4 linked regions of the Saccharomyces cerevisiae S288C genome follow. Each later gene encodes a partner of the first gene's protein in a complex. Each region holds a gene or a part of one and is shown on either strand. Other genes may lie near its edges. The genes, in order: ELG1, RFC3, POL30 and RFC4. A codon is read from its position in the direction of its gene.

The links.
Region 2: the proteins of ELG1 (region 1) and RFC3 are in contact, whole or in part, in a cryo-EM structure (PDB 8THD), measured with the Saccharomyces cerevisiae proteins. Residues at the interface, in NP_014787.3 of Saccharomyces cerevisiae: Arg184 (codon at 2,481), Ser185 (codon at 2,484), Val186 (codon at 2,487), Asp187 (codon at 2,490), Ile188 (codon at 2,493), Pro189 (codon at 2,496), Leu190 (codon at 2,499), Pro191 (codon at 2,502), Phe192 (codon at 2,505), Arg193 (codon at 2,508), Met561 (codon at 3,612), Val562 (codon at 3,615), Arg563 (codon at 3,618), Glu565 (codon at 3,624), Leu611 (codon at 3,762), Phe613 (codon at 3,768); in NP_014109.1 of Saccharomyces cerevisiae: Ile90 (codon at 2,138), Ala121 (codon at 2,045), Met122 (codon at 2,042), Thr123 (codon at 2,039), Asn124 (codon at 2,036), Ala125 (codon at 2,033), Gln127 (codon at 2,027), His151 (codon at 1,955), Lys152 (codon at 1,952), Leu153 (codon at 1,949), Thr154 (codon at 1,946), Pro155 (codon at 1,943), Ser242 (codon at 1,682), Lys245 (codon at 1,673), Ala246 (codon at 1,670), Leu248 (codon at 1,664), Lys249 (codon at 1,661), Leu252 (codon at 1,652), Glu253 (codon at 1,649), Ile284 (codon at 1,556), Leu285 (codon at 1,553), Glu286 (codon at 1,550), Asp287 (codon at 1,547), Tyr288 (codon at 1,544), Glu289 (codon at 1,541), Leu290 (codon at 1,538), Phe331 (codon at 1,415), Glu334 (codon at 1,406).
Region 3: the proteins of ELG1 (region 1) and POL30 are in contact, whole or in part, in a cryo-EM structure (PDB 8THC), measured with the Saccharomyces cerevisiae proteins. Residues at the interface, in NP_014787.3 of Saccharomyces cerevisiae: Glu275 (codon at 2,754), Lys276 (codon at 2,757), Pro277 (codon at 2,760), Gln362 (codon at 3,015), Tyr364 (codon at 3,021), Asp379 (codon at 3,066), Ile380 (codon at 3,069), Asp383 (codon at 3,078), Phe384 (codon at 3,081), Thr385 (codon at 3,084), Thr386 (codon at 3,087), Thr387 (codon at 3,090), His388 (codon at 3,093), Tyr389 (codon at 3,096), Val390 (codon at 3,099), Lys391 (codon at 3,102), Arg431 (codon at 3,222), Arg432 (codon at 3,225); in NP_009645.1 of Saccharomyces cerevisiae: Asp42 (codon at 1,952), Ser43 (codon at 1,949), Arg44 (codon at 1,946), Val45 (codon at 1,943), Leu47 (codon at 1,937), Leu126 (codon at 1,700), Lys210 (codon at 1,448), Tyr211 (codon at 1,445), Pro234 (codon at 1,376), Phe249 (codon at 1,331), Ala251 (codon at 1,325), Pro252 (codon at 1,322), Lys253 (codon at 1,319), Phe254 (codon at 1,316), Asn255 (codon at 1,313).
Region 4: the proteins of ELG1 (region 1) and RFC4 are in contact, whole or in part, in a cryo-EM structure (PDB 8THD), measured with the Saccharomyces cerevisiae proteins. Residues at the interface, in NP_014787.3 of Saccharomyces cerevisiae: Arg193 (codon at 2,508), Ile195 (codon at 2,514), Pro196 (codon at 2,517), Leu198 (codon at 2,523), Asn199 (codon at 2,526), His200 (codon at 2,529), Phe202 (codon at 2,535), Pro204 (codon at 2,541), Asp206 (codon at 2,547), Tyr207 (codon at 2,550), Leu210 (codon at 2,559), Lys211 (codon at 2,562), Asp212 (codon at 2,565), Lys213 (codon at 2,568), Arg222 (codon at 2,595), Pro226 (codon at 2,607), Thr237 (codon at 2,640), Thr238 (codon at 2,643), Leu239 (codon at 2,646), Thr240 (codon at 2,649), Gln243 (codon at 2,658), Lys344 (codon at 2,961), Asn367 (codon at 3,030), Ser368 (codon at 3,033), Asn369 (codon at 3,036), Met370 (codon at 3,039), Asn371 (codon at 3,042), Asn406 (codon at 3,147), Asp407 (codon at 3,150), Val410 (codon at 3,159); in NP_014547.1 of Saccharomyces cerevisiae: Glu28 (codon at 1,391), Thr29 (codon at 1,388), Asp31 (codon at 1,382), Arg32 (codon at 1,379), Leu33 (codon at 1,376), Gln35 (codon at 1,370), Ile36 (codon at 1,367), Asp39 (codon at 1,358), Asn41 (codon at 1,352), Pro43 (codon at 1,346), His44 (codon at 1,343), Met50 (codon at 1,325), Ile86 (codon at 1,217), Asp87 (codon at 1,214), Arg90 (codon at 1,205), Lys94 (codon at 1,193), Gly106 (codon at 1,157), His108 (codon at 1,151), Met119 (codon at 1,118), Thr120 (codon at 1,115), Ala121 (codon at 1,112), Gly122 (codon at 1,109), Gln125 (codon at 1,100), Ala126 (codon at 1,097), Arg128 (codon at 1,091), Arg129 (codon at 1,088), Thr130 (codon at 1,085), Glu132 (codon at 1,079), Leu133 (codon at 1,076), Ser135 (codon at 1,070).

Annotation. Positions count from the first base shown.
Region 1 is NC_001147.6:602,217-607,023, reverse strand, and holds ELG1 (Elg1p), read left to right. Parts: upstream 1-1,931; coding exon 1,932-4,307; downstream 4,308-4,807. Other genes in the region: MDM32 (Mdm32p), read right to left, coding at 1-417; PNO1 (Pno1p), read left to right, coding at 853-1,677; THI80 (thiamine diphosphokinase), read left to right, coding at 4,682-4,807.
Region 2 is NC_001146.8:83,700-88,622, reverse strand, and holds RFC3 (replication factor C subunit 3), read right to left. Parts: upstream 2,406-4,923; coding exon 1,383-2,405; downstream 1-1,382. Other genes in the region: PCL1 (Pcl1p), read right to left, coding at 1-726; MID1 (Mid1p), read left to right, coding at 2,808-4,454; pseudouridine synthase PUS4, read right to left, coding at 4,606-4,923. UniProt on the Saccharomyces cerevisiae protein: Component of ATP-dependent clamp loader (RFC and RFC-like) complexes for DNA clamps, such as the POL30/PCNA homotrimer and the checkpoint clamp DDC1:MEC3:RAD17 complex.
Region 3 is NC_001134.8:423,692-428,066, forward strand, and holds POL30 (proliferating cell nuclear antigen), read right to left. Parts: upstream 2,076-4,375; coding exon 1,299-2,075; downstream 1-1,298. Other genes in the region: RFC5 (replication factor C subunit 5), read left to right, coding at 74-1,138; NHP6B (high-mobility group nucleosome-binding protein), read right to left, coding at 2,499-2,798; YBR090C (uncharacterized protein), read right to left, coding at 2,642-2,825, 3,183-3,367; TIM12 (Tim12p), read right to left, coding at 3,464-3,793; acid phosphatase PHO3, read right to left, coding at 4,007-4,375. UniProt on the Saccharomyces cerevisiae protein: This protein is an auxiliary protein of DNA polymerase delta and is involved in the control of eukaryotic DNA replication by increasing the polymerase's processibility during elongation of the leading strand. Involved in DNA repair.
Region 4 is NC_001147.6:141,084-146,036, forward strand, and holds RFC4 (replication factor C subunit 4), read right to left. Parts: upstream 1,473-4,953; coding exon 501-1,472; downstream 1-500. Other genes in the region: HMI1 (ATP-dependent 3'-5' DNA helicase), read right to left, coding at 1-264; TRM10 (tRNA (guanine(9)-N(1))-methyltransferase), read left to right, coding at 1,732-2,613; YPQ1 (cationic amino acid transporter), read left to right, coding at 3,121-4,047; SPO21 (Spo21p), read left to right, coding at 4,251-4,953. UniProt on the Saccharomyces cerevisiae protein: Component of ATP-dependent clamp loader (RFC and RFC-like) complexes for DNA clamps, such as the POL30/PCNA homotrimer and the checkpoint clamp DDC1:MEC3:RAD17 complex.

The sequences.
Region 1 (4,807 bases):
GAGCCATAGAATTTGTGACAATATCAGCCAAGACGCTATAATACTTATTTCATTCAGAGAGAACGGCCTGTTGTTTTTAATAAGAATCCACTTTAGATTGATTTTGAACCTTTCTTGAAAATTCTTTGCATCTGCTAGAAGCGATTGCTTGAACTCTCGCTCATTATTTTTTCTCAGCAAAATAGTCTCAATATTGGAAGCCTTGGTAGTGAACTTGTCATTGCTTGGAAATGTTCGGATGTGCCTTTGGGCGATCAAACATCTAACAGGTAACGAACTCTTGTAAGGTGTTATAAAAGGTCTGACATTTCCATGATTAGTTGCGACGTAAGTTCGAATACAGTGTCTTACGAGATGACTTGTAATTGGAAGCAGTGGCCGCTTTATTGTAGGGACCCGTAAACGTGTGATTAGCATGAATTTTATAAACCTCCCACCACCTGATAATCTGTATGTGCCTTTTGTTTTAATACTTCTTGACGCAAATCTACTGTCAACTTTAATATGCATCCCTCCATAGTAAGTCAAGGATCAGCTAGAACCAATAACGAGAAGTAAAAAAAAGTGACAAAAAGTCAAATGTGTCTTTATACGAATTTTTTAACCTACATATGAAGAGTAAGGTCATAAATAATAAATGTAGGGCTAAATGCAGTTAAGATTACTACAGTATTAGGTCTGTTTTTTATCACCTCTTACGGAAAGTGCGAGCGGGAAAAAATTTTTCTTCTTTCCTTATTATCATACCGATGCTCATCACAATGAAAGATACATATTGCATCAATAATAGGCAGTTTTCAATATTCTTCTGTTTAGTTAAGAAAAAGACTTGAAGTGAAAATAAACTACATTATGGTTGCGCCTACTGCTTTGAAAAAGGCTACTGTGACACCTGTAAGTGGACAAGATGGGGGCAGTAGTAGAATTATAGGAATAAATAATACCGAAAGCATCGATGAGGACGATGATGACGACGTTCTGTTAGATGATTCCGACAATAACACAGCAAAAGAAGAGGTAGAGGGCGAAGAAGGTAGCCGGAAAACGCACGAATCTAAGACCGTAGTGGTTGATGACCAGGGGAAACCTCGCTTCACTTCAGCTAGCAAAACACAGGGTAACAAAATAAAATTTGAATCGAGAAAGATCATGGTTCCACCACACAGAATGACACCCTTGAGGAACAGTTGGACAAAAATTTATCCTCCTTTGGTCGAGCACTTGAAGCTGCAAGTCAGAATGAATTTAAAGACCAAATCCGTAGAACTAAGAACGAATCCTAAATTTACCACAGACCCTGGTGCGTTGCAAAAAGGGGCCGATTTTATCAAAGCCTTTACCTTAGGGTTTGATCTTGACGATTCTATCGCACTATTGAGGCTAGATGATTTATATATTGAGACTTTTGAAGTCAAAGATGTCAAGACTCTAACAGGTGACCATTTGTCGAGAGCCATCGGTCGTATTGCCGGTAAAGACGGTAAAACGAAATTTGCGATTGAAAACGCTACAAGAACAAGAATTGTCTTAGCTGACTCTAAAATCCACATTTTGGGCGGGTTCACCCACATCAGAATGGCAAGAGAATCTGTGGTTAGTTTAATTTTGGGTTCCCCTCCAGGTAAAGTTTATGGGAACTTACGTACCGTTGCATCTAGATTAAAAGAACGCTACTAAACATAATTTGTGGGCTTTCATCATCTGTATAATATTTATATGTCGTTTTATGGCGAAATAGAGTGAATAAATAGGTTTTTTTTTCCTTCTTTTTTTTAGGACGCCAAACGCGTAACGTTAGCGGTGATAAATTAGTTTAGTATTATTATCCGGCTATTTGCTTCATGTATTTAACGTCTTCACTGACCACCTTCGCTGCACTAAATCGTATGGTACCATAGCATTAAACTTTTTGAATCAGAGAAGGTTTTCCAATGAAAAGGCACGTGTCTTTATCTGATATATTGACAGGAAATAAGAGAAAAGTGAGAAGACAAGATGCTCTACAGATTACCATCGATGACGAAAATGATACTGAATCAGGCACTTTTGACGCCAGAACAGCCAAACATGACGATTCTTCAGTAATATTTTTAAACCACTCTGTTGTGAAGCCAATTGAAGCTGTTTCTACTAATCACAAATCTGCAAAGGAGTTTTTGATGACGAAACGCACAAAAGAAAAATGCGATGACGACGATGATGATCTTATTGTAATCAGTGATAAGAGTCCCAAAAGTGAGACTAATTGTAGCAAAATTGCACTTTCGCAGGAGCATGAAGATGATATTTCTATAATTTCCACATCGAGAATCAAATCATCGCTTCTTAATGAAAGAGCATCAAAGATTAAAAACTTCCTTAAACATGAGACAACCGACACGTTCAAAAGATTAAATAGCATCTCTAAACTAAATGAAATAGAGCCACCATTACCATTACATCAATCGATTTTCCCAGTAGGTGACAAAGAGCTGTCAGATCGGAGTGTTGATATCCCGCTTCCTTTCCGCACAATACCGCCATTAAATCATAATTTTCTTCCTAGTGACTATGAATCGTTGAAAGACAAGAATTCAGCATCTTGTATTCCTGTTCGCTATCAAGCACCGGTATTACTTGGCACAAATATTAAAAGAAATACAACTCTCACATGGCCGCAGCTATTCAAGCCTGTCACTTTAAAACAAGTATTAATTGAACCCAAATTGAAACTTCGAATCAAAAATTGGATTGAAACATCCTTTCATACGCTAGAAAAGCCTACCTTGAGGAACCGTCTATTGAACAGAATAAATCCCAATAAACAACAGGGATCTGGTGATGAGCTTGCCAACTTCATTGTACCTGATCTCGAAGAAGACGAAAACTTGCGTCCAGATTTCTACAGAAATGGCGAAGCAAATAGCAGCTTGAGCGAATTTGTTCCACTAATGATATTACACGGAAATTCAATAGGCAAGAAAACGCTGATACAGACAATCATGAGAGAGATTGCTGGCGACGATAATTCTTACCAGATATATGAAGTTAATTCAAACATGAACAGGAGCAAAAAAGATTTGCTTGATATCCTACTAGATTTTACCACCACACACTATGTCAAAGATTCCTCAAAAAGGAAAAGTGACTACGGGCTTGTTTTATTTAATGATGTTGATGTTTTATTTAAAGAACATGATAGGGGATATTGGGCAATGATCAGCAAGCTTTGTGAATTTTCACGAAGGCCCCTCGTATTGACTTGTAAGGATTTGTCACTAGTTCCTAGTGAACTTATTGCCTTGGCAAGTGAACAAAACTCTTTGTTTCATACTAAGAAAATTAGTACATCCACAGTCTATGCGTTTCTAACAAAATATTTAAAGTCCCTTGAAATCGAAGTTTGTGACGACTGGCTTCGCGATGTTGTAAAACAAAATAATGCGGATATTAGGAAGTGCTTGATGCACTTGCAGTTTTGGTGCGTTGATACTGAGGCTGATTTGATTTCATCCAAGAACAGACTACCGGTCCTAACATCAACTCTTGGTTCAAGCGTTAAAGATATATCGCAATTAACTGATCTACTCTCCATAAATGATGTTATTGGTCAAGCAACGCTCAATCGTTCCATGGTTAGACAAGAAATAGATTCTACCACAATGACCCCAGAAAAAGTTAATACTTTCCAGGATCAAAATCTGGATGATGAAATGAAACTAAAATTTGATTACGTGATAGATTATAAATTGCATTTAAATGACCCCAATAGACAACCGTTATTACCGTTTGAATTGAATATTTACCAACACATCCAAGAACAATTGGAAGCTCGGTATTCCTATGTTAGAGAAGCAAACCATAGGCTTGATAACGAATACCTTGTTAACAGGTTCAAAAAAATGACAGAATCTACATTAAATTTTTTGGCGTCAAGAATACCGAAGTATGACCATCTTCAGTCGGCAAGAAGGACGAGAAATTCGAAGAAAATTTCTGATATTTTGAACCAATTCAAAGGAATTTATAATGATGAAACTCTGAACGAAAATGCCGAGATTGATCTGCTGAGCGCCACAACTCAACAAATTAAAGCGGAGATCAATCCCTTCGTTTTTGAAATCGCTAAAAGTGACGCCAATGTCAAGAATGAAAACAAACAAATATTTGAGTTGCATAGTGAAAATGTATCAGAAAGACGATACAAAGATTTGGTCTATCAGTTGTCACAAGAGGGTGTCTTGAAAAACGTATGGTTCAACGCTGATCCGAGCATAGTCGTGAGAAAATGGGAGCATTTGCACTCAGGCTTTTCAAAGAACAAATAACACTGATATGAAATTGCGTGCATCGTTACAGGAACACGTATGTATAATAAATATAGCATGGTAGTGCGGGGAAATATACTACTACTTTATATATCAATAAATTCTGCAACCTTGCATTAAGCAAATGCAGCACAATCCTAAATTCCTTCTAATAGTTGCCTTTATTTCCTCATAGTGCATATTTCAAAACAGCGAAAAATGCAAAATATGCGAAAACTTGAAAAAAAATGGCTGATGGGAATTACAAATAAAGCGTGAATGATAAGGCGTTTATAAAAGATTTAGCTTCTTAAGTACTGTGGTTTTGATAAAAGCTAGAAATTTGTAGATCACAATTGGTCACAAAGAACAATAAAAAGCTGAATATCACTGCTATGAGCGAGGAGTGTATTGAAAATCCTGAACGTATTAAAATTGGTACTGATTTAATCAACATCCGAAATAAAATGAACTTAAAAGAACTAATCCATCCAAACGAGGATGAAAACTCTACCCTACTC
Region 2 (4,923 bases), on another chromosome or scaffold:
TATGTTGGTTACATCTTTTAGCCTTCTTAGATCATTACAACTGTCGACTAGAGTAGCAGAACTTAAATCGGATGCTATCGACACGTTTCTCTGTTTTTCGTAGAGTTTGAATCTGTTGTTTGATCTGATAGGACTCGTGCCAGCACAAGTCCTTCTGTTCATGGACATCATCATGTTAATTCTCTTCCTTTGGTCGCTGGATCTTGCCAAGTCTTGCTTGATGGGCTCTAATAGAGGCTGCAGATCTAGGATCAAATCTTCTGTGTTCACCCTGAGGTCCCAGTTCAACAGCTGTAACAACTGCCTTTCCATAAGGTTGATATCCTCTAGTGTAAAGAGACCATCGGTGTACCTAGCCCAGTGCTTGTTTAAAGGAGAAGAGTCATTGTGAAACTTAGCACTCAGTATCAAACAGGCCAAGAAAATGCGATGGATGGTCGAGGGGAGACCAGTAGCGTCCCTGGGCAGAATACGCTTTAATTTGTTCAAATAGCACGCAGCGGTGAGCAGAGTGGGTGTGTAGACGTTGGTGTATCTGACCAATCTAGTGATAAAAGTCATTAGCGATGGCAGCCTTGTGAGGTGTTTCTCTCCTGGAGAACCGGGAGGCGTGGGGTAGTTGCTTGAAGGAACAACCCTCAATGTTGTGTCTGTTAAGAATTTTATTATGTCATCCGTTACTGGCGACTTGAGCAGAATATGAAGAGCCTTGCTGTATTCACACATTTTATTACTTTACTGTTATTTGTATAATTGATTGTTTTTGTTATCGTTTTTGTTCTTGACAATGGATGATTGCTGATGTACGCAATAGTAATTCCAAGACACAAGAGTTAAGGACAAGCTTATCAATCCCATTACCATGTAGGCCTATTGACCTTATATATGTTTTCCTATCGCTATATGGAAGCTACCATTCCTTTTATTCTCCATAATAACGCCAAAATCTGCCCACAGCCTTGTAGCCTCATTTGGCTCCCGACATTTCGAGTCGCTTTTGCGTCGCATGCCTCCGCGAAAAATTTCGCGCCGGACGCGATTTTTAACACGAAATTCTTGTTCGTGCCGCTGTTGCCCTTTTGGGAAATATTTCCCGATCTGGCATTCGCAGAACACTAGAGCCAGAGTTCTGCCATTCTTTACGTCCAAGAGGTTAAAGTACAGATCACGTAACGGAATGCTACTTTCTGTAACAATTTGGCGATTCGCATTCTCAGTTGTTAGCTAGACGCCAATTGATTTACGGTTTCCGGTATGCAAATTGAAAATGCTTTCATCTATTTCTTTTATTTTTTTTATTTCGTTCTGGGCGTTGTGTTATGTTGTTATATTGCACAATGCAGTTGTTCTGTACATATTGTATCTATACATATTTGCGTCGATTATACGTTGGCTTTAACAGTTTCGTTCTCGAAGCTGGCCTTGATGGCGCCAATGACCGCGCTGCCCTGAATCTGGTCGTTGCCACCCTTGGATATCGAGTACTCTATATCGGCCAGTTTGGTAAGCAAATGCACTCTTGTTTCCTCATTTTGAAGTTCGTAGTCTTCCAGTATCTTCACTATGCCCTCGATTAGGTCGATCAACGCGAGACCCTTGGCACTGCGTACCTTATTAAGTGTGTAGTGGGCGGTACCCCAATCGTCCTCCAGTATCGACTTCAATACTGCCTTTAAGTCACTTGGTCTGGGTGCCCCACAGCATTCATAGATAACGTCGTCACTGATCTCATCCTCGTCGGGATTGTCTAAAGTAGCTTTGCAAGACTGCAAAACGTTTAACACACGTCTCATATCCCCATTAGAAAGTTCTATTAAGGCCTTCTCCGCATTAGGAGACAACTTCAGCTTCTCATGCACCAAGACGTTGGCTATCCGACGCTCAATGGCCTCTTGGGGCAAGGGCTGAAATCTGAATCTCGTGCACCTACTCAATAACGCAGGTGTAAGTTTATGCGCATAATTGGCCAATACACAGAACCGCGTATTCTTGGTGTACCGTTCTATAACTCTTCTCAACGCATTTTGTGCGGCATTGGTCATGGCATCTGCTTCATCCAGTATAATTAACTTGAACCCTTTAGAGAAGATTTGTCTTGTAGAGGCAAAGTCTTTAATTTGATTCCTCACCACATCAATACCTCTGTCATCGGATGCATTCAGCTCCAAAACCATGTTCGAGTAATTCTTACCATATATCTCACGTGCCAAAGCAACAATTGTAGAAGTTTTACCGGTACCTGGAGGCCCATAGAATAGAAGATGTGGCAATTTACCTTCATCTACAAATTTACGAACTGTGGTGATCACCTCATTTTGTCCGTACACTTCGTCCAACGTTTCGGGTCTGTATTTTTCAACCCATGGAAGGTTTTCTTTGCTCCTCTTCTCTGTACTTGTCGACATTCTTGTATGTCGGGCCTGTTCCTACACCTTTTATAAAATTATTCAAGCTTTGAAAAGATATTTATCCTGTGCTCTTTATAGCTTCTTTCCATTTCTTTCAAAATCGCGTACTGACCAAAAAAAAAAAAGATCAAAATTGAGAAGCCATACATAATATAATAATGATATAGTTTCGCTGCCATCGGACCGCAATAGTAACTCTACAAGTAAACGTGTTGTTTTCTCAAGAACAGGTTACTGAAACTGAGCCATTGGTTGCGGAAAATTTCCCTAATAATTTCGACCGGCTGACGTACCGTTTTGGCTATTTCTCAAATACTTGACTGGCTTAACTGCCATACTGAATTGCAGTAAAACCCGTAACACTACAATTTCTGTCCAGCGGCAGTATTATTTCTAAGGATGATAGTGTGGCAAGCACTATTCGTGGTTTACTGCCTATTTACCACTTCTATTCACGGTTTATTCCAAGACTTCAATCCTTTCGCAAATAAGAATATTTCCTTAAAGTTTCCCAGCCTAAATAGATGGGAGAAAAACGTTATGGCTACTGGTCAACAAACAATCATCAATTCGGATAGCATTTATGAATGGACCCCGATCTTATCTAACATAACAGCGGGCAAAAAAGACAGTTTTGTATTTACCATTGACGCAGAAGCCTCCGGTTATGGGTTTGCTCCCACGTATGAAGTGTTAATGTTTATTAGCGGCAATATATGCCAAATGCCCATGAATAGATCAGATGTGGATTTAACAATATACTACTCTTTTAATGAAACGGTTTTAGAGAACCCAAATATAGGTCAAAGTGCAGTTTTTCAGGATGGCTACATCCAAGCATTAGCCATCAGTCCAGTGCAGTCTTCTAGCTCGAACGCTACCTCCACGTATTCAAATCTTTATGTGGTCGCTGAGCTAGTGAATTCCACTACGGAGCAACCTCTGTCCAGTTCCGACGCCTCTGAAAATTGGGAATATAGACTGAGTATCTCTGAGAACGATTTGGTTTTTCAGTGGGATGTAAGGCCTTGGGTAGAGGTCCTGGACACTGATATGAATTCTGCATTACTATCAACGGGGAATGTCACCGCAGACGCCAAAGTTTATCACAATTATTCAATATATGATCCATCCTTGTACGATCTGTATGTTTACTCGTACGAAGATTCTGTTCAACTAAACCAAAACTATAATTTATCTCTTTGTGCTGTGAAAAATGGACCATATTTAGTGTCTTCCCAAAATACATCAAATGCAACAGTTACGTCAAATAGTACAAATCCTTTAGAGCGTACTGACTTGGCGATTCAAAAAAAAATTACAGAATATGGTGGTAGCGTGACAGAAATGTTTTACGTGACAGGACTGAATGCCTCAACAACTTATGTAGCGTACCTGACAAAGAAAATCAGTAATGGTGATGGGTTGTCAAGTGTGGGCGGCATTTTATTTTCACATGTTTATTTTACCACAAGAAGTACCGATGTCTGCTCTTTGATCTTTGGTTTGGACTTCTGCAGTGACGTCGCTTACTCTGTTCCTACATCCTCATTTTCTGTGGGTAATAAAACTCTCATGGCGCAGACATATGACCACATTGCAGAGGCACTATATGCAAATTTTAGCAAAGCTCTACAGTTAATATCCTGTGACGCAGACAAAGACGCAAGATATTCTCCGGTCATGACTTGTGACGATTGTGCCGAAGCTTATCGTGATTGGGTATGTGCAGTATCAATTCCGAGATGCACCACGACGTCTTCCCAATACTACATCCACAGAGATAAAAGTCACAACCGTAATGATTATTTGAATAAATTTATTAAACCTTTGGATGACTATTACGAAATTCTACCTTGTATTGACATGTGCTATACATTAGTACGAAATTGCCCAAGCGATTTTCAATTTTCCTGTCCGAATGATCTTACTACGGAAGATCTTCTTTATCAAAGTTACAATTTCTATATGGACACTGACTACTCAACCTGTAATTATATAGGTAACTCATCCTTGATGGTAATTCATCCATTGGACGATACGTAGAAGAGACCGAACTATCACAAAAAAATTGAACGATTTAAATGCATAAGTACATCGATTTTTTTTAAATCATATATACACATAAAAAAATAGATAAAATGAGAGCGTAGTCTTCACAAGACCAAAAAAAAAAATGGTTCGAACTTCCTCTTTTTTACACCTGTTCGATTTTTCTTTTTAGTGTATTAGAATGTTCTTCGGCGTTAGCAGTTTCAATTGTTTCAGCCGTAGCCTCATCACCAGGTTGATCACTCGAAACTATACATTCCTTCACGTCCGCTGGTATTTCCTTTTCTGCTTTCTTTAGCTCTTCTATAACATCAACAGTTGCTCCCTCGTCTAGAACCTTCTCCAGTACCTTACTCCACACCTTCTCGTCTCTTTCAGTAAAATCCGTTAATTGGAACACATTATTTTTTTCAAGAGACCAGTCCTGCTGTTGCAAACGTATCAATTTCACCATATAACATGA
Region 3 (4,375 bases), on another chromosome or scaffold:
TTCCTTGGAACATAAAATAGACTTTTCATTTGTATGATGGTTCATGGAAATTATAGATTAGTACAGCACAAACATGTCATTGTGGGTAGATAAATACAGACCTAAGTCCTTGAATGCTCTTTCACATAATGAAGAGTTGACAAATTTTCTAAAATCGTTATCTGATCAGCCTCGTGATTTACCTCATCTTTTACTGTATGGACCAAATGGTACAGGTAAGAAAACGCGTTGTATGGCATTATTGGAGTCCATATTTGGACCTGGAGTCTATAGATTGAAAATTGATGTCAGACAATTTGTCACTGCTTCGAACAGAAAACTAGAACTGAATGTGGTCAGCTCGCCATACCATTTAGAGATCACGCCAAGTGATATGGGTAACAATGATAGAATTGTCATCCAAGAACTATTGAAAGAAGTGGCTCAAATGGAACAAGTGGACTTTCAAGATTCTAAGGATGGACTTGCCCATAGATATAAGTGTGTTATTATCAACGAGGCGAACTCGTTAACAAAAGATGCTCAAGCTGCTTTAAGACGTACCATGGAAAAATACTCCAAAAACATTAGGTTGATAATGGTCTGCGATTCGATGTCGCCTATAATTGCTCCTATCAAATCCCGTTGTCTGTTGATTCGTTGTCCTGCACCAAGCGATAGCGAAATTTCAACTATCTTGTCTGATGTGGTGACAAATGAAAGAATACAACTAGAAACAAAGGATATTTTAAAAAGAATTGCTCAGGCATCGAATGGAAACTTGCGAGTCTCCCTATTAATGCTTGAATCTATGGCACTGAACAACGAATTAGCATTGAAAAGCAGTAGCCCTATAATAAAACCAGATTGGATTATAGTGATCCATAAATTAACGAGGAAAATCGTTAAAGAGAGATCTGTCAATTCTTTAATCGAATGCAGAGCTGTCCTATACGATTTACTAGCTCATTGTATACCTGCCAATATCATCTTAAAGGAACTAACGTTTTCTTTGTTGGATGTGGAAACCCTGAATACCACGAATAAATCGTCCATAATTGAATACTCAAGTGTTTTTGACGAAAGATTATCACTTGGAAACAAAGCAATATTCCATTTGGAAGGGTTCATAGCAAAAGTTATGTGCTGTCTAGATTAATGTAAGATATGTCATAAATACTGTATAAGTCACACAAAAAGCTGATATTTAACGCATCTTAGTCTTTATTTTCTTTGTTATTTATTTTCATTTAAAACAAACTTTACTGTTTTTTTTTTGTTTATTATTTTTAGTATACAACTATATAGATAATTTACATTTATTCTTCGTCATTAAATTTAGGAGCCAAGAAAAACTGTAGGAACCCACTCTTCAAATCAAATTGGAATAAAGCAGGAGCTTCGCTGGAGAGCCTGATACCAACTCTATCAGAAAGGGAGGAGCCCTTAATGATGTCCAATAAATATTTAGCTCCGAACGTCAAGTCGACAGGTTGATCCATTTCAAGTTTGATGCTTGTTTCAGGATGTTCCATATCCACGAATGGTTTTATTATGACTGAACCTGATCCGATATCACCGTCAGCTACAAACTTTATTGTTTCTTTGGTGATCATGATATTAATAGAATCACTCAATTGGGACAAGTCACGAACAATTTTAGAGAATTCGGAAGATGGCAATGACAGGGTGGAGTCGTACTGTAATTCTTCAATCTTTAAGAAATCAGCATCGATATCCATCAATTTCAGAGAGTATTCGGCTATACGGTCTTTCTTGGTATCCTCAAATAATAAGATGATGGAATCCGGTGTGTTGTCAGCAATTAGTGTTAATGTATCGGTGTTGTTACCACAACGTAGGATTTTACTTAGTGAGGTTAGATCCATACCTAACGTAACAGGATGGTCACATCTATATTCTTGGAAGGCTTCGACACCTATTTCCAAGGAGACCAATAGAACTCTTGAGTCATCGACAGCTTGTGCAATGATACCATCTTCTTTACATTGGAAATTGACCAACTGGACACAATCTTTGAAACCATCAATTATTCTCTTGAAAAGGGATGCTTCTTCAAATTTTGCTTCTAACATTTTTTCTCTCTTTTGACTGCGTACTTAGTGCTTGCTGCTTGTTGCTGTGAGTGAAAAAGGACGGCGAAAGTGAAAGGTGCAAGTGGAAAGAAAGGAAGGCTAAAGCAAAAGTGTTTCTTATATATAATTTTATGTACCAGAGGAAGCAAAGTACGAAAACTATCAGTTGAAATCCAAAAAAAAAAAGTTACGCGTTTCGCGTTTTGGTGCGTCGGATGGAGAAGAAAAATGCTAAATAATTAGATATTGAAGAATCAGCATAAGTTGTGCGAAAAAGGAAGAGAATACATAAAAGAAAAGAAGGATATATAAGTAAAATAATGATAATAGTAATAATAATAACACATAATGCAACCTACTCAACTTCTTTCTGAAGTTTCAAAAGTACGTTGTATGGGAGGTAGAGAACATTGAGTTGTTAGATCAAGCACGTGTAGCATTGTACAATTCCTTTTCAGATTCGTATCTCTTCTTGTCTGCTTGAGCCTTAGATTCATAGGGTTGCTTTTCTTCAGCAGTTAAGGCCTTCCACCTCTCACCCAATATTCTGCCTACTTGGCCAAAAGTTACGTCAGGATTCTCGGAACGGACAATGTCTCTGTTTTCATTAGCAAAGAACATATAAGCTGACAAGCCCCTCTTAGGGGCGTTAGGATCCTTCTTTCTCCTGGTGGTCCTCTTCTTTGGTTCCTTTGGTTGCTTTGCTTCTTTAGTTGCGGCCATAGCGCTAGTTTTATATATGTTAATGTTCTAAGTTAATTAGTTAGTACTCTTGTCGTGCGCTATGATAAACAAAGGAAGGGGGTGCACAGAACAGCAGTCCTTTAGAGGATACTACAGTAGAAAGCTAGAGTCCTGACTTACAACTTGAGCATGCCGTTATGGGCGGCTATTTCATTTCACCTGAACCGTATTAAAATATCATCTTCCTTGCTGCTACAACCTTCATTGTAGCCGGTTTATAAGATTACCATCATTGTCTACCCCTCTTTAACTTCTCCCGAAAAGCAGAGTTGCCCTTAGCTGTATCCTGTTCTAGCTGTGCTAAACTGTACGTTCTTATTAAGCCCATCCTCGTCCGCTGGGCTCACCCAGCGCCTTACATACTTTGCGAAAAAGTCGTTTTTCTGCTTGGTGTTAGGAGCTGTCTCCCATAGTGTAAACTCCCAGTATTGCCTCAACCTCACTTGCTGTACTTTATAGTTGCCGCGCCACCTAAAAAAAAAAACAAAAAAGACACCACCTAAAAAAACGGGTGAGGGGAATGCACGTGACCCAGGTGCGGGTACCATATAAATGTACTTCTAAAATTGTCTACACAGCTTATAATGCTATATATGCAGGTTACTATTATATACAAACAGCACAGACAGTCCTCATATTTACAGCTATTTTTTGGAATCATCAGCTATTTCTTTGGCCACAAATCGCGAATAATGTCGTAGCTGATTCTCTGGCCCGAAACCTCGTGTTTGTACAAATCCTCCAATGAGGCGATTGCTGTAATGCATCTTTGCCACACATCTGTCTATGCAGCATTGCTCACCTTTCGTTAGATCAGGCTCACCAAAGCCCTCATGCGGAATACATTTCTCAAGACACGTACTGAGAATATTGTTGAAAGTCGAGCACATCGCATCGAATTGCACTCCTGCAACGTCTAGCTTCTCTTGCGAGACCTCCTGGTTGCCCCTTAGACTATTTAAAAAGAACGACATCCTTTTCTTGGTGCACTTTAATATTATACGGGAGCTCCGATATCTATTTCAGCAATATAGACTACAATCAACTTTGCTGTTCTTACTTTTTAGTTAACTTTTTTCTTTTCATTCTGCCGCTAATCTACAAACTCGTTACCCTACTAGTACATAAAAGAAGATCAGAATCGATGGGTATTTATTTATATTTGCAATATTATTTATTTATACAATTTATTGTTTTAATAGGGTATCGTTGTAGTGAGTAGTATTCCAGTCCCAGTAGAAGGTCAATTCGGTGACGTTACTGACACTGCTGACGTTACAGACCTTTAGGAAGTCAGTACCAGCTACTCTCTTTTCAGCATAGTCGTAGAAATCATTGATTTCACAAGAGAACCCTGGGCCGGTGGAACAGGTTTCAATTGGAACGACAGCATCGTTAATGACGTATCTGACGTAGGTGTCGTTAGAACATTGGAATTTTTCGGTGTAGACACGAGCACCTTGAGGAACGTACCAGGACTTATGGAAGGTGTTGCCCATGAATGGAACGTATTCGGCAGTTAAGTTGTTTTTGTCGTCAATTATACCAGCGGTGGT
Region 4 (4,953 bases), 460 kb from region 1:
AATCTGATGGACAATTTCCTTATTTGTATGCGAGTTTTCGAAAATGGACAGTAAATTTTCTATTATACTATCAACTGCTTTGTTTGTTAACGAAAATATAAGTATTTCTTCAGGCTTAATATTCTCCACAGTAATTAAATGTAGTACTTTATATAGTAGCGTTAGCGTTTTTCCTGAGCCTGGGCCCGCAATGACTTTTATCGTAGACGCTGGTTCATATGACTTATTTATTACCTTCCATTGAGATGGAGTTAGCTTGTCCATCTGTCTTCAACGAACGACGTATACCTTCTCTATATTTTTTCTACATATTATGACTATGTAACTGCACTGCGAGTTGTAAGTTTTGATCAACAAACAACTTTAAAGCTTAAATTGTGCAAAAATGAAAAAAAAAAAAAAATTCTGACACATCACAAGGGAAGAGACAAGACAAAGAAGTAGAATTTAAAGTAATGCACTAATATGGGAGTTTTTTTTATAGTTTTCGGATATTTAAATCAGGCTTTATTATTTAGTTTATGAATTTTCGCTAACATACTAGCCAGTTGCAAGTACGTTCCAACACCCTCCAGAATTCTCATATGGGTCAAACCGATTTCTTTTATCATTTCCAATCTTACTGATTCTTTCACTTGTGCTAAGTTTTTGGTAACGCGGAAAGATGTTGTGACGATATCAATCGAGGAATAACCCTTTTTCCAAAGATCTGTTCTTAAGATTTGAATTGAATCTTCTAGGTTGGAGGCTAGTAACATTTTCTTCACTATTAGAGGGTGAGGAGAATCAACAATTTTGAAGACATTGTCTGCGTTCACTAAACCGTGTCCTGCTACTGTACTTTGTAGATTGTTTATGGCCTGTCTCATGTCACCCTCCGCTGTAAAAATGATTGCTTCTAACCCATCATTTGTATACTTAACATCCTCTAGCTTTATGATTTGTAAAAGACGTTTTAGAACGTCTTCATCGGATAGTTTAGAATACCTCAAAATCGCACATCTACTTTGCAGCGGCTCAATGATCTTGTTTGATTGATTACAAGCAAATGCAAACCTTGTAGAGTTCGAATATAGCTCCATGGTCCTTCTCAACGCTTGCTGAGCACCAGCAGTCATGGAATCCGCCTCATCAAGAATAACGATTTTATGTTTCCCTGGAGGCAAATGTAGTTTCTTCTGGGCAAAATGTTTTATTTGGTTTCTGACGACATCAATACCTCTGTCATCTGAAGCGTTCAACTCTAAAACACCGTCAGCATAAGAGCGGCCAAGGAGCTCGTGAGCAAGGCAATGTACCGAAGTGGTCTTACCTATACCTGGCATACCTGATATGATCATATGGGGCATGTTACCATCTTTAGCGATTTGCTGAAGTCTATCAATGGTCTCTTTATTACCGACTATATCAGATAAAACTTGGGGACGGTATTTCTCAACCCATGGAAGTTGCAAAGATAAAGTTTTGGACATTATAAGGGACTTTTTATATCTTCTGGGAAGCTCTGCAATGTTATAATAGATCCAATCAGATTTATAAATGCTACTATTTTACAGTATTTAAAATATGTGGTTGGTTTTCCCACCTTTTTGTCAAGAAAAAACGCGTTTAATCTAACAGTGTGATGTGGTAATGAAAAATTTTCATTGTCTTTAAGAGAGATGGTGATGTTTAATATAGCGTAAAGCTTTCAAGGTAAATAATTAAGTGTCAATCTGCAGGCAAAACAACATGTCCAATGATGAGATAAACCAGAACGAGGAAAAGGTGAAAAGAACACCACCTTTACCGCCTGTGCCAGAAGGCATGTCTAAAAAGCAATGGAAAAAAATGTGTAAAAGACAGAGATGGGAGGAGAATAAAGCCAAATACAATGCGGAACGCCGTGTAAAGAAGAAGAGACTTCGCCATGAAAGAAGTGCGAAGATTCAAGAATACATTGACAGGGGAGAAGAGGTCCCGCAGGAATTGATTAGAGAGCCTCGTATCAATGTGAATCAGACTGATTCTGGGATAGAGATCATACTTGACTGTTCTTTTGATGAGTTAATGAACGACAAGGAAATAGTAAGCTTGTCTAACCAGGTCACCAGGGCATACTCCGCGAATAGAAGGGCGAACCATTTTGCAGAAATAAAGGTGGCCCCATTCGACAAAAGACTAAAGCAAAGGTTTGAAACTACTCTGAAAAATACCAATTATGAAAACTGGAACCATTTTAAATTCCTACCAGACGACAAAATCATGTTTGGAGATGAGCATATAAGTAAGGACAAAATAGTGTATTTAACGGCCGATACAGAGGAAAAGCTGGAGAAGCTGGAACCCGGGATGCGATACATTGTTGGCGGCATTGTAGACAAGAATCGTTATAAAGAATTGTGTCTGAAGAAGGCCCAAAAGATGGGCATTCCTACGCGAAGATTGCCCATTGACGAGTACATCAATCTCGAAGGCAGAAGAGTGTTGACGACAACGCACGTCGTGCAACTCATGCTGAAATACTTTGATGACCATAACTGGAAAAATGCCTTTGAAAGCGTTTTACCACCCAGAAAGCTGGATGCGGAAGCAAAATCCGCAAGCTCTTCGCCAGCTCCAAAGGACACATAGGCAGCCATCACTGTAGTATTATTAGTAACTGAATAGCAAAATAGTAATAGTCTCCGTAGCTACAATAGGTGTATATTGATGTCAGAGATACGGGTTAAACATGCGCAACTGGTAGTAGTTCTTCAAAGGGTGTTTATGCTTATCATAGTACTTGGACATTAGCCGCCGAAACTGGCTCCACTCGAAATCTAAATGGCATTCCCTTTTTAATATTAACAACACCAATCTTAGTGTCCGAGAGGTCCAAATCTAATGTAGGGCCGTGGGAGGATACTTCTTATTTCTCTTTGCTTATTTTGCTTTGATGTTGTATGTGTTTTACCTGTAAATTCTCTAATATGGTCATTTTTGCTCTTAATGACTCTTTTATTTTTACCCGGATTGCAATTTTTCACATATCGTCTTTTTATTCACTACGTACTTTAATCGTCTTCGCGATGATATGTACTGCTAACGAAAGAATGCCATACAAAAAAAAAGCTACCACATCGCTCGACGACCTCAATTATGCAACTTGTGCCGCTAGAATTGAATAGATCCACTCTAAGTGGGATATCTGGGTCCATCTCCATCTCCTGCTGGATCATTGTGTTTGTCCCTCAAATTTACGAGAACTTTTACCGGAAGTCGTCTGATGGGCTGTCTTTATTGTTCGTGGTACTTTGGTTGGCCGGCGATGTCTTTAACCTTATGGGTGCCGTTATGCAACATCTTTTGTCTACCATGATCATTCTTGCTGCTTACTATACGGTGGCAGATATCATTTTACTAGGTCAATGTCTATGGTACGATAATGAGGAAAAACCAGCAGTAGACCCTATTCATCTCTCCCCTGCCAATCCAATAAACGAAAACGTTCTGCACGATGTGTTCAATGAACAACAACCGCTTTTGAATTCCCAAGGTCAGCCAAATCGTATTGATGAAGAAATGGCTGCTCCTTCATCCGACGGAAACGCTGGTGATGATAATCTCCGTGAAGTCAATTCAAGAAATTTGATAAAAGACATATTTATTGTTAGTGGTGTAGTTTTTGTAGGTTTCATCTCGTGGTATGTAACCTACTGCGTAAACTACACGCAACCTCCTCCCGTGGAGGATCCATCACTGCCTGTTCCCGAACTGCAGATCAATTGGATGGCTCAGATATTCGGTTACTTAAGTGCCCTTTTGTATCTGGGTTCAAGAATTCCTCAGATATTACTGAATTTTAAGAGAAAGTCTTGTGAAGGTATCAGTTTCCTATTCTTTTTGTTCGCCTGTTTGGGTAATACCACATTTATTTTCTCTGTGATTGTCATTTCTTTAGACTGGAAGTATCTAATTATGAATGCTTCCTGGTTGGTTGGAAGCATAGGTACTTTATTCATGGATTTCGTCATATTTTCCCAGTTTTTCATTTACAAAAGAAATAAAAAATTTATACTGAATTAACATGTTCTATCTAATATTTATTTAACATATTTTTGACCTCACAAACTTTTTTTTTTTTTCTCTCTGTCATTGACATTTTTTTAATGTCACAAAAAGAAAAATTAAATGTATTATAAAATTTCATTTAAATAGGAAAAAACCCGTGATTACTAAAGGCATATTAAAGATCTATTAAAGATCTATTAAAGCTTTCTGCTACCAGTATGGATAATATTTTAAAGGCATCAAATATGGAAGGGACTTCAACAATGACAGTTACCTCGCGTAGTTCTGAAGACTCTAGTTGTATCTCAAATCATGAACAAGATACCGATACACATAAGGACGGCGACACAAGTGGTCTGGAAAACAGTAAAATTTCGAAGAGAAAGTGGATGAAAGAGTTTTTTAAACTTTCCAAATCTCCAGCTTCCAAAAGCAGCCGGAGTATAGGTTCCATGAAAAGTAACCAGAGCCTCGTTTCAATGAAAAGTAGTGACGATGGCAACAGTTATAAAAATGATTACTCTTCTATCTGTGGTAACAGCCTTCCATCTGCAGGCTTGAGTCGTTCGAATAGTGTGAAAGAATTAAAATTAGATTCAACTGGAAGTCAGAGATCAAAAAATAATGTTGCCATGTTAGCACGTTCTTCTACAACATCTCAGACAACGTGCTCTTCTTCTTCATCATCATCTTCTTATAACTCTATAAAAGGAAATGAAAATGATATTTTATTGCAGAATAACAATCACTTTAGGCATAACAAAGAAATTCCTCAAAGTAAAGGGAGCTCCAACATTAACACCGCATCGATTATGAGCCAATACAATGTCGATACGCAAGCAACCGCTATAATGAGCGATATGCAAAAGCAATACGACTCGCAACAGATGACATCACCATTTGTAAACGAAGACTTGCATT